Linked DNA regions of Ovis aries. The protein of the gene in region 1 interacts with the protein of each later gene in a biochemical or structural test. Links are inferred from orthologs where the notes say so. Each region holds a gene or a part of one and is shown on either strand. Other genes may lie near its edges.

The links. The genes of interacting proteins can lie anywhere in the genome.
Region 2: the proteins of MAPT (region 1) and FKBP5 form a complex in vitro, tested with the Homo sapiens proteins (2 studies listed by BioGRID and IntAct, with this or other methods). The link is inferred for Ovis aries from reciprocal best matches to the Homo sapiens genes MAPT and FKBP5.

The regions. Positions count from the first base shown.
Region 1 is NC_056064.1:45,621,857-45,626,600, reverse strand, and holds the start of MAPT (microtubule-associated protein tau), read right to left. Parts: upstream 3,156-4,744; 5' UTR 3,022-3,155; intron 1-3,021. UniProt on the Homo sapiens protein: Promotes microtubule assembly and stability, and might be involved in the establishment and maintenance of neuronal polarity.
Region 2 is NC_056073.1:9,818,720-9,823,626, reverse strand, and holds the start of FKBP5 (peptidyl-prolyl cis-trans isomerase FKBP5), read left to right. Parts: upstream 1-1,850; 5' UTR 1,851-1,960; intron 1,961-4,907. UniProt on the Homo sapiens protein: Immunophilin protein with PPIase and co-chaperone activities. Component of unligated steroid receptors heterocomplexes through interaction with heat-shock protein 90 (HSP90).

The DNA.
Region 1 (4,744 bases):
TCCCCTCAACAGGTCCCCTCAACCATCCCAACCCATACTAGCCAGAAACCCGCCCATGGTCCCGAGTGCCTGACGCCAAGCATGTCTTCCGGACTTAAAACAGCTCCCACCTGCAGTAGAGTCCGGGACAGAAGTCGATGGCCCTCGAATCGGTGCCGGGAAACCCTGATGCGGCGGCTGGCTCAGCGCTTCAGCGTCGAGCGTGGGCGCAAACGGGGCATCCCTGGAGATCCCAGGTAGGCAAGCGCGCCCAGAGTCAGGGATGGAGTTTCTGGATCAGCGTAGGAAGGACCATCTCCTGGTCCCCGGATTCCCCTGTTCACAACTCCTCCTGGCCTTGCAGACCCCAGAGGCCCATCAAATCGCCAAAACACCGCAAAACAGAGTAAAAACGCGGAAGCCTGTACTGCACTTTGTTTCTAGCACTGGGCTAAAGACACTCGCCTCTGCCGGCTCTTTTCCCCCCAACCGACAGGAGATGACTTCTCTGCCCCAGGTCCATCATGGGCAGCGGTGGCCGCGGGCTCCCCGTTCCTAGGGCCCCTCCGAGACCCTCGCTCTGTCTGGTATCAGAATCTCTCCTCCAGCTCTATTGGCGGCGATGATGCTCGAATTGATCCTTGAACCTCTCCAAACCAGATTCGATCTTGAAGCCACGGGAAGGTTCGGCCTGGCGCGGGCAGACTCTCATCCCCAACCGAGTCATTCCGCGCCTATTCAGATAAATCTGCGTGGCTCGAGAAGACAATTTGGCCCCTAAAATGCTCACCCTTCTCAGAACTGCGCCCTCGCACCAGTTTCCAGCGATAGAATTAACCAGAAAGCCGTCCAGGATCCGGCAAATGGAAGGCAGGCGAGGCTCAGATATGTTCGCCAGGGCCCGAACTCGCCTCTCTATCCCCTCCCCCCTCCCCCTATGCCCCCTCCCCCATCCTCACCTCCCGGTTTCAAGGCGGCGGCGAACTCGGACTCTTAAGCGAAAATACCGCACAGTTCTAAAATAAAATTCGACTACAATAATAAAAACACGAGAGATGTCTATCTGGGTGGCTTCAGCCACCGGAGTCCAATAAGAGCCATGGGTTCAGGGCTTGCGGGGGAGGTCTCCCTCCATCATCCCCCAGGAGCCGGGGCCGGGGGCCTGGTCCTGCCTATCCCAGGCTCTCAATCTCTGTTCGGAAGGGGCGGGGCAACGCCCCAAGGTCTATTTCCCCGGCTCTTGTGGTCTCCTTGACAACCTCCCCCCTGACCCCCCTCTAGTCCTTTTAATAAAATGGGTGTGGCCCGCAGCACCCGAGAAGACCTCTTGCCCCCTCCTCACAATCTCCCTCCTGGCGAAGCAACAGGGCGTGAAGCGAAGAGGCGCCCCGCCTTCGAGCTCCCACCGGGGGTCGCCGGTGCTCCTTGGTGTGCAGCCTGGTGGGGCGTGGCCCGCGGACGCTCCAGGTGTGGGGAGGGGCATCGTTCCTCTGCGGCCACCGGCGAGGCGCGCAGGGACCTCGGATCCCACCCCTTCGGCCCCTCGGAGGCTTTCTGGCGCGCGCCCCGGTTCTGGGAGAGGGCTGCGCGGGGTCACGCCCGGCCCATGCGTGCCCCCCGGGAGGACTAGAGTTCCTCGACCCCGGCGAGCTCCGAGATCTAACAAAGGGCTCGGAAATGAGGGGCAAAAAGCGGGGGGAGGGGCGGGAGCTGTGGTTAAACACCTTCATAGAATAAAAGCCAAAAATCAGGGCTGGCAACACAGATCACGTAAGCCCTACACACAAAGCAGTCAAGCCCCCGAGGAAGATCTCGGGTGAACGACCCCGGTACTCGGGCAACAAAATGCCAAGATTTCAGCGCTAATTGCTCCCCCTCCCCTTAATGACAGTCCCCGCCCTGTCCTCCTGAGCTCAGCCATCCGGCTTGGCATGGCACTCTAAAGACGTGACACACCGCAAAAAGATGGCACCTCGCGATCGGAGGGGAAAAAAGCAGGGGTGGAAGTGGGAGGAGGCACAGCCTACCCTCCCCCTCCTCGCCCACCCGGGTCCACACCCACTGCCGCAGTGAGGGGCGAGCCCTGCGCGCCAGCCCCGCGTCTCCGGCAGGGAGCGCACACGCCGGACTCCCGGCGCAGAGCGCAGAGAAAGGGGCCCGCCCCGAAATGCACCTGCCGCCCCTGAGCGGGTCTGTGCGGGGCTGCGGCTGTGCGCACCCTCGAGCCGGGATCTGCAGCTGCGAAGTCCTTCCATATCCCAAGTCCAGGTGACCCCTGCCTTGTTGAGCCTCCACATTGGGATCCGGGCACTACGTTCTCTCGGGCACTGCGCTGCTCGCGTCTCGGTGCCAGGCGCGCGCAGGGGGAAGGGCAACTAAAGTGACAGCGCCAAGACCCCTCCCCATCTCCCCGATTTCACTCCCAGCCCCCAAATGTCCCCTGCGGGTTTCTGAAGGAGGAAAACGAGAAGAGGGTGGGCCACCGCCTTAAACCAAGGGCCGCGAAAGCCCGGCTGAAATCAGGGCCGGGGAGGGATAGGGAGGGGCAGGCAGGGAGTCATCTTTTCTAGAAACCGATCAATACCTTGTCTGCAAACCGAGGCAGGGAAATTGGATTACAGGTTAGGTTTCGGGGGTCGTCATTGGACCCCTCTCCACCCCCCCCCCCACAGAATCACACGCCCATTGCGGCAAAAGACGGTGTTCGAGCGTGCATAGCAGCCCCCTCCCCCAGATCACCGCCATCCGCGCCCCACCCTGTGGGCACAACCTCTGCCGGGTCCGCGTGAAGCGGGTCTTGTAGACACCCCCCCACACACACGCACACAGGACATACACACACGCGCGCGTGCATCCCTTGCATAGATCCCTTTTCCAAGTCACCCCAATCCCAGCGCTGGAGCGCAGAGGGCGCAAGGAGCGGCCGCCGCCGTTGCCCCCGACCAATGCCCACCTCATGAAACCCATCTCTGAGGAGAGGGGCGGCGGTATGCAGGTGCAGCCGGGCGGACCGGGAGGCAGATTTCGGAGCCTCGCACTTACCTGATAGTCGACAGAGGGCGAGGACAGTAGAGGGAGGCAGAGGAGAAAGTGGCTGTGGTGGCGGCGGCAGAAGGTGGGCGGCGGCGGCGGCGGCGCTGCTGCTGGTGCCTGAGCTGGTGGGTGGCGGAGATTGCGAGCGCGCGCACGAGCGGAGAGGGCGCGCTCCGGCGGCCGGCGGGCGGCGCAGGCGCGAGCCGCGGGAGCGCGAGCCTTCCCAGGGGAGGGGCGGGCCGTGAGGCCTCGGTGGGCGTATTCTCCTCCGGCCACCAGTGGGCGCGCGCGAGCGCCCCAAGGTTCGGCCCTTCCCCGCCTCCCCGCTCTCTCCTCTCGGCGCTTCCCGTCCAGGGTCTCCCCTCCTCCCACGACTTGGGCCGCGGCGCTGACCGCAACGCGCACGCGCGCCCCTTGGCGCACGCGCACTCCGGGTCTCCTGTCGCGGTTGGAGCCTTTGTCTTGTTTGAGGGGTCTCCTCCCTTGGGAGGATGGCTTGGTTGCTCCCTGGGTCGAGAAGGGGCTGGGTGCTCCGCCCCCAGGTCCGCTGCCTCTTTTATCCCCCTGACGTCTTGGAGTGATGTCCTGTCTCGGGAACGTTCTGGGCAAGTTTCCATATGGCCATCCCTCCAGTCCACCCCAGACCTCAAAACCTCCCCGGACTTGCCCCTCTTATCGCTGGCACCCTGACTCTCCCCTGAATTTCCCGAAATGATTCCCCTTGTTGCAGATCAGTTTCCTTGGATCTGCTTTCTTTCGACCTGCTTTCTTTTCACCTTTTTGTTTTGTTTTTGATCAAGGTGAATTCTTGGCAAATCTACTTCAATTTGCTAAGACTTACAACTGAGTTAAGGCTAACTTAGTAGTAATAAGGTAGTGCAAGGTTTTGAAGGGTTTGGGGTTTTTTGTTTTAACAAGGATCATTCACATCTATTATCTTCACCCTAAGAATAAAATCTTAAATTAGATGAAGTTTCACTTACCGCGTTAGAAAACATTTTCACCTATAAAGTTATTTTTATCTTGTTTGTCAAACACTGTTACACTGTATAGAGTTTGAGATCTGGATTTCTAAGTTCCTGCTGGAGATTCTCACCTGGATAACACTGCTTCAGATTGAAACTGACCAGAGTGTTCTTGCCTGGAGAATCTCAGGGACGGGGAAGCCTGGTGGGCTGCCATCTATGGGGTCGCACAGAGTCGGACACGACTGAAGTGACTTAGCAGCAGAGGCTTTCATCCTCTCAGTCAGCCAATCTCTAGGCTTTGTCCTTAGCTGGTCTCCCCAACATCTAATTTAAGCCCTGACAGTCAGTGGGAGGCTTTAAATGCATAAGAGCTTGGGGACCGCTGTCGTGTACTAAAAAGACAGGAATTTGTCTTAAAGCTTTTATTTGCATAGGTCACAATTTTTCAAAACTGTTGTGTGTTATGTGCTAAGTCACTTCAGTCGTGGCCGACTTTTTGCGACCCTGTGGACTGTAGCCCACCAGGCTCCTCTGTCCATGGGATTTTCCAGGGAAGAATTGTGGAGTGGGTTGCCATACCCTCCTCCAGGGGATCTTCCCAACCCAGGGATTGAACCCATGTCTCTTACGTCTCCTGCACTGGCAGGTGAGTTCTTTACCACTCGTGCCACCTGGGAAGTCCTTGTGTGTTGTAGATGAATACAAAAAGAAAGTAGCTAAAGATTGTTTATTCACAGGGGTTTAATTAATATATACTGGGAGCA
Region 2 (4,907 bases), on another chromosome or scaffold:
CACGGTTCCTGCTGTTCCCTCAGTTAGTAGGCTCTTCCAGGTCTGCATTCTTCTTGCTCATGCTATCCTCCCTCTCTTCCCACCCTCCCCTCCCCCACTCCGAGTTTCCTTTCTTCCTCTTCCACATCCATCAGTCTGGCAAACACCATCTCTTCATACTCTTTTAGGACTCAGATCTAGTGTCACGTCTTCAGTGAGGCCTTCCCTGACTCCCTCCCCAGGAAGAGCCGATTGCCCTGCTCCTGGGAGTCCTCCACTGGTCTATGCATAGCCACTTCCTATGCAGGTATCTTGTCACAATCTCTGAAACATGAGGCCCACGGACATGCAATGTGGATGGCACTGTCTCTTAGGTCTGGGACAATGTCCTCTCACCTCAGTATACCGTGCGCGTAGCACAGTGCTTAACTCCAGGCTGTTAAAAAGCATGTGGGTGTATGCTAAGTCGCTTCAGTTGTGTCTCAGAGAACTTATGGACTGTGGCCTGCCAGGCTCCTCTGTCCATGGGGATTCTCCAGGCAAGAATACTGGAATGGGTTGCCATGCCCTCCTCCAGGGGATCTTCCCAACCCAGGGACTGAACCCGTGACTCTTGACGGTCGGGCCTTGGCAGGTGGGTTCTCTACCACTAGCACGCCACCTGAGAAGCCCCATTAAAATCACAGTAGATGCTTAAACGATTGGCATTAGTATGCAGAATTAATGCACAAATAAACTGTTTCAGTGACACTCTTTGGCATCTGGTAAAAAGGTAAGCTTCTAGGCCCTGAAGCAGGGCCTTTGCCCTCACTGAGGAGGTTTCAGCGTCAGCTCTAGTGGTTGTTTCTGCAGGTGGCACCTCTTGAAGGCAGGGATGGTTATTTGCAGAAGAAACTCTTCATAAATACCTAAATGACCCTAGGTGATATAGTGTTGAGGCCAGATGTGGAGTTAGGAGATGTTAGGTTTCAATAGGTGATTATTAAGCTCCACAGTTGTGGGACTTCAGGTTCCTGTTTCCTCAAGAATGAGATTGAGCGAGCCACTCCCTAAGGCCCAGGAGCTGCTAGCTCAGTCCCCTTCATCCCAATCTTGGTTTGGCCATTACACTCCAGGGGCCCTGAGCCCCCTCCTGAAGTCCAGCTGCTCAGCAGACCTACCCGTTGGCAGGCGGCAGAGAACACAGACATCTTTTAAGAAAACACAGAAATCCTCTGCTGTCTCAGTCACCTGGGATCTCATGTTTGAAAGGTAGAAGACGGAGGGAAAGCCTAGTCTTAACAGTCCCTGAGTGTCCAGAGGCAAGTGCTACGTGCTATGGTTTCTCCAGATGGGATTTTTTCCCCCCAGTTCCAAATGGACAATACCAGTTCCCCTGGTATTGTTTCCCGGGGCTAACCTAGCTTGCTTACCTGACGCAAACAAGCCTGGCCTGCCCCTCTCCTTCCGCGAATCAGGTCGGGTGGGCGGACAGGAGGGCAGAACTGTCAGAGAGAGGTCCCAATGTGAAGTCCACTAGCTTGCTTGGGCATTAGTTTCCCCGGAGGTAAGGGATGGAGTGAGGGGGCGTCGTTCAGTTTCCTCCCTCTCTTCCCTACAGCGCCCACAAAGGGGCAAGGGCCAGACACGTGGGCTGGCGTGGGGGAGGCGGAGGTTACACCAAGGCGGAGGTGCAAATGGCCGGGGGCGGGGCCTTATTTGCATGGACGGCGTTCGGCCGCCAATCGGGATAGGAGGAGCGACAGCCCGCGCGTCTTTTGGGGCGGACTGACAGCCCCGGGGCCCTATGGGAGGCGGGTCCTGCGGCCCGCGGGGGCGGGACTGCGCCGGGCGCTGCCCGGGGGGACTCTGGCCGCTTCGCGGGCGCTGCCAGTCTCCGGCGGCGGCGTCCGGCGCGCTGGCGGCCTGCTGGGCGGGCTGAGGGGCTGGCGGCGCGCGGCTGAGGCAGAGCGACAGAACGGGCGAGCCGCCACGGCGACAGGTACCGGCGCCATGGCCACGGGGGGGATGAGGCGGGGTGGCCGCCCGGCCCCGGGAGCCGCGTTCCCTCCTTCGCGGTCCTGCCGCCGCTGTGCCGCTTCCTCACGCGGCGCCCCAGCCCGGGAACCGCGCTGCGGGGCGGGCGGCGCCGAGACGCCTCGGAGCGGGCGCGCTGGAGGCGCCCAGGCTCCCCCGCGGGAATCCTCTGCGCCCCGCCGGGCGAGCGGGGCCGGGGCTCCCTTCGCCTCCGGGAGGCGCGGAGCCGGGCGGCCGCGGGAGCGGCTCCCCGCCCCTGCCGCGCTCTCCCTTGGGAAGACGAGGCCGGTCGCGCCCCGCTGGTCCTCACTCGGCTTTTTTTTTTTTTTTTGGTTTCCCGCCCTGGGTAACAGGTCCCGGCTCCGGCTCCTGTCTCGGCGGCCCCCGACTCGCCCGCGGCCCGGCGCCCGAGAGCCAGGCGGCCCGTGAGCCGCGGCCGCCGCGAGCGGGAGAGAAACTTCGGTCTCCCGGGCCCGGGCGGCGGGAGAAGTGGGCCGGCGGTGAGCCGTGCGCCGGGACGCATCGCGGCCGCGATGGAGCCTCGCTCACCTGGCGGGCCCGCCGAGGGGAGGGATAACGGAGCGTCCCGCCGCAGCCGCGGTCCCCGGCTTTCGGTCTGCGCTCCCGGGGCGGTGGGTGTGGATATACGCGTTCCCCGTCTTTCACCTGCCGCCCCGGGAGGGGGACCAGTGACTGGGAACACGGCCTCCCCGCCCTCGACTGCCGGTAAGAGGGGACCGGGGCAGCGCCGTTCCAACAGGTGATTATCCCAAGTGCCAGGTGAGAGCCACTGAAAAGTTGTTTCAGGGTTCGGTAATTCAGTTCTCCGGGGGCTTTGTAACGCCTTCTCCCATAATGATTTTTTTTTTTTTAAGGTGTGCTGACCGCAGTATAGGAGTCAAAAACTAGTATTGCTTGGGGTGCGGGGTGGGTGGGGAAGGTGGGGAGTGTCGCCAGCGGGTAGATTGCCTTCTTTCCATTGACTTGGCCGGGAGGAACATCTTAGTTTAAAAATCGGTTTCTGCAGTGGTGGTGAAAGCATGCATAGTAAGGTACAAGTTGTAAATGGAGAATGCAGAGCTCGAGATATCCTTCGCTGTGGTTCAGGACAGAGTGTACAACGTTTGGCCGCCATTCAGTAAATTCTGCATGAAGCAGTTTGAGCTCGTGGTTTTGGATTTACTTTACAAGAGTGGAATACGGCTTAGCTTTGAATGGGAGCTTTCTTTGCCTCTCTGAGGGCACACAGGAGTGTTTATTTTCATTGTCTTCTCGTTTTGTTAGATTATAGACGAGGGAAAAGTTGAGGCATATTTTGGTTCAGTATTTTTAATAGTCTATGGGAATTCTCCTTCACCCATTCCCCCCTCCCCCCGCCCCGCATAAGAGTATTTATTTTAAAATTCGAGGGTAGAGTTGAACAACTTTTTATTCTTGTGGAAGTTTTTATGTTATACTTCCACTTATTTTCTGTTTCTCTCTCTCTCCCGGCTGACCTCACTTAAAATCTACAGTTATGGCCCTGACCAATTTTAGAAAAAATTTAAAAATAATATATAATTATTCTAAAATATATTATGAAGGTTTAGATAACTCAGATTTTTCTTCTTATGTGTCTTTTTTTAAAATGTCTGTGCTGGATATGATTTGAATAAGAGATGTAAGGAACTTCTTAAGGACAGTTACACTTTTGATTTAATTATGTTACTTTATTAGTGCTTCATTGAATGGTTATTAGTCACATGTTAATTAGTAACACCTTTGAAAGGTGCACTCTAACCGATAGGCTAGTTGTGACTGTTCGGGATTTTTTTTTTTAATCAAAGATAGTTTTCATAAAAATTGTTTTGTTTTCTTGAAAACAACAGGCTTATCTGCTGTGAGTTCTTTGTCTTTCAAACATGACCATTTTAAAATATTGGATTAGGAACTAGTGAAGTCTTCAATTTTGTTTATTCTTGCATTGGAAAAAGAACATATTTCGGTTGTTTTGTTTCCTAAAGTCTTAGCTTAGAACAATCAGTCTAGAGAAGGAAGAACATTCTCTTTCTATAGTTGTAGAAGAAATTATTACTGTTGAAAGCTGAGTTGGCTTTTCGATGCTTAGTGAAGGTAGATTGAACAGTGACTTGTTCAGAGTGAGTTTTATTCTGTATAAGTAGTTCTGAGGAATCTTATGAGACTAGGGTTATGGGTGGTCTATATAATTGTTTTAAGTGTATAGGAGTATATTAGTCTAACTATTGTGTATAATTAGAAGTTTTATAGTTTTTATCTTGTGATGCTTAAATGTATCACATACCATAAATTAAAGCTATATTTCATAGTTTAATTTACAAAAGCATGTTTTGGGAACTTTAACTGTAAAAGTGCCTTTTAATTAAAATACTGTTTTCAAATTCAATTTTTACATGTTTCAATTACTGATTTCTGTCCACTTTTAACTTGTGGTAGACCGTATCGTAAAATGGTCAACCACATTATAGCTTCAAAATTAAATATAAGTTGAATTCTTACATCTACGTAATAAATGTTGGGAGTATTTTTAAGTCACTTACCCTCAGGTGTGGCTCCTTTTGAATTTGGGGGTGGGCAAATATTTTTGATTAAACAAAGCTACAGAAAAACAGGGACACATGTGAAACAAGCTACGTTTGAGGCTAAATCACACGATACTGTTAGATAGTAATACTTGTTTATTTAACAGTAAAATGCGTGCTGTATCTGTTATTAAGAATATTTTCTGTAGGCCTTTAATATTTTTCACAATTCCTAACAAAGAATCTATATTGTACATATTTTGGCATACTGAATTCTGTACTTATTTTATGCTGAACAATTAAATTATTTATACTTTTTATAATTCTGAAACTATTTGAACTTTCTAACCTAGCTGATTAGTAATCAGATTT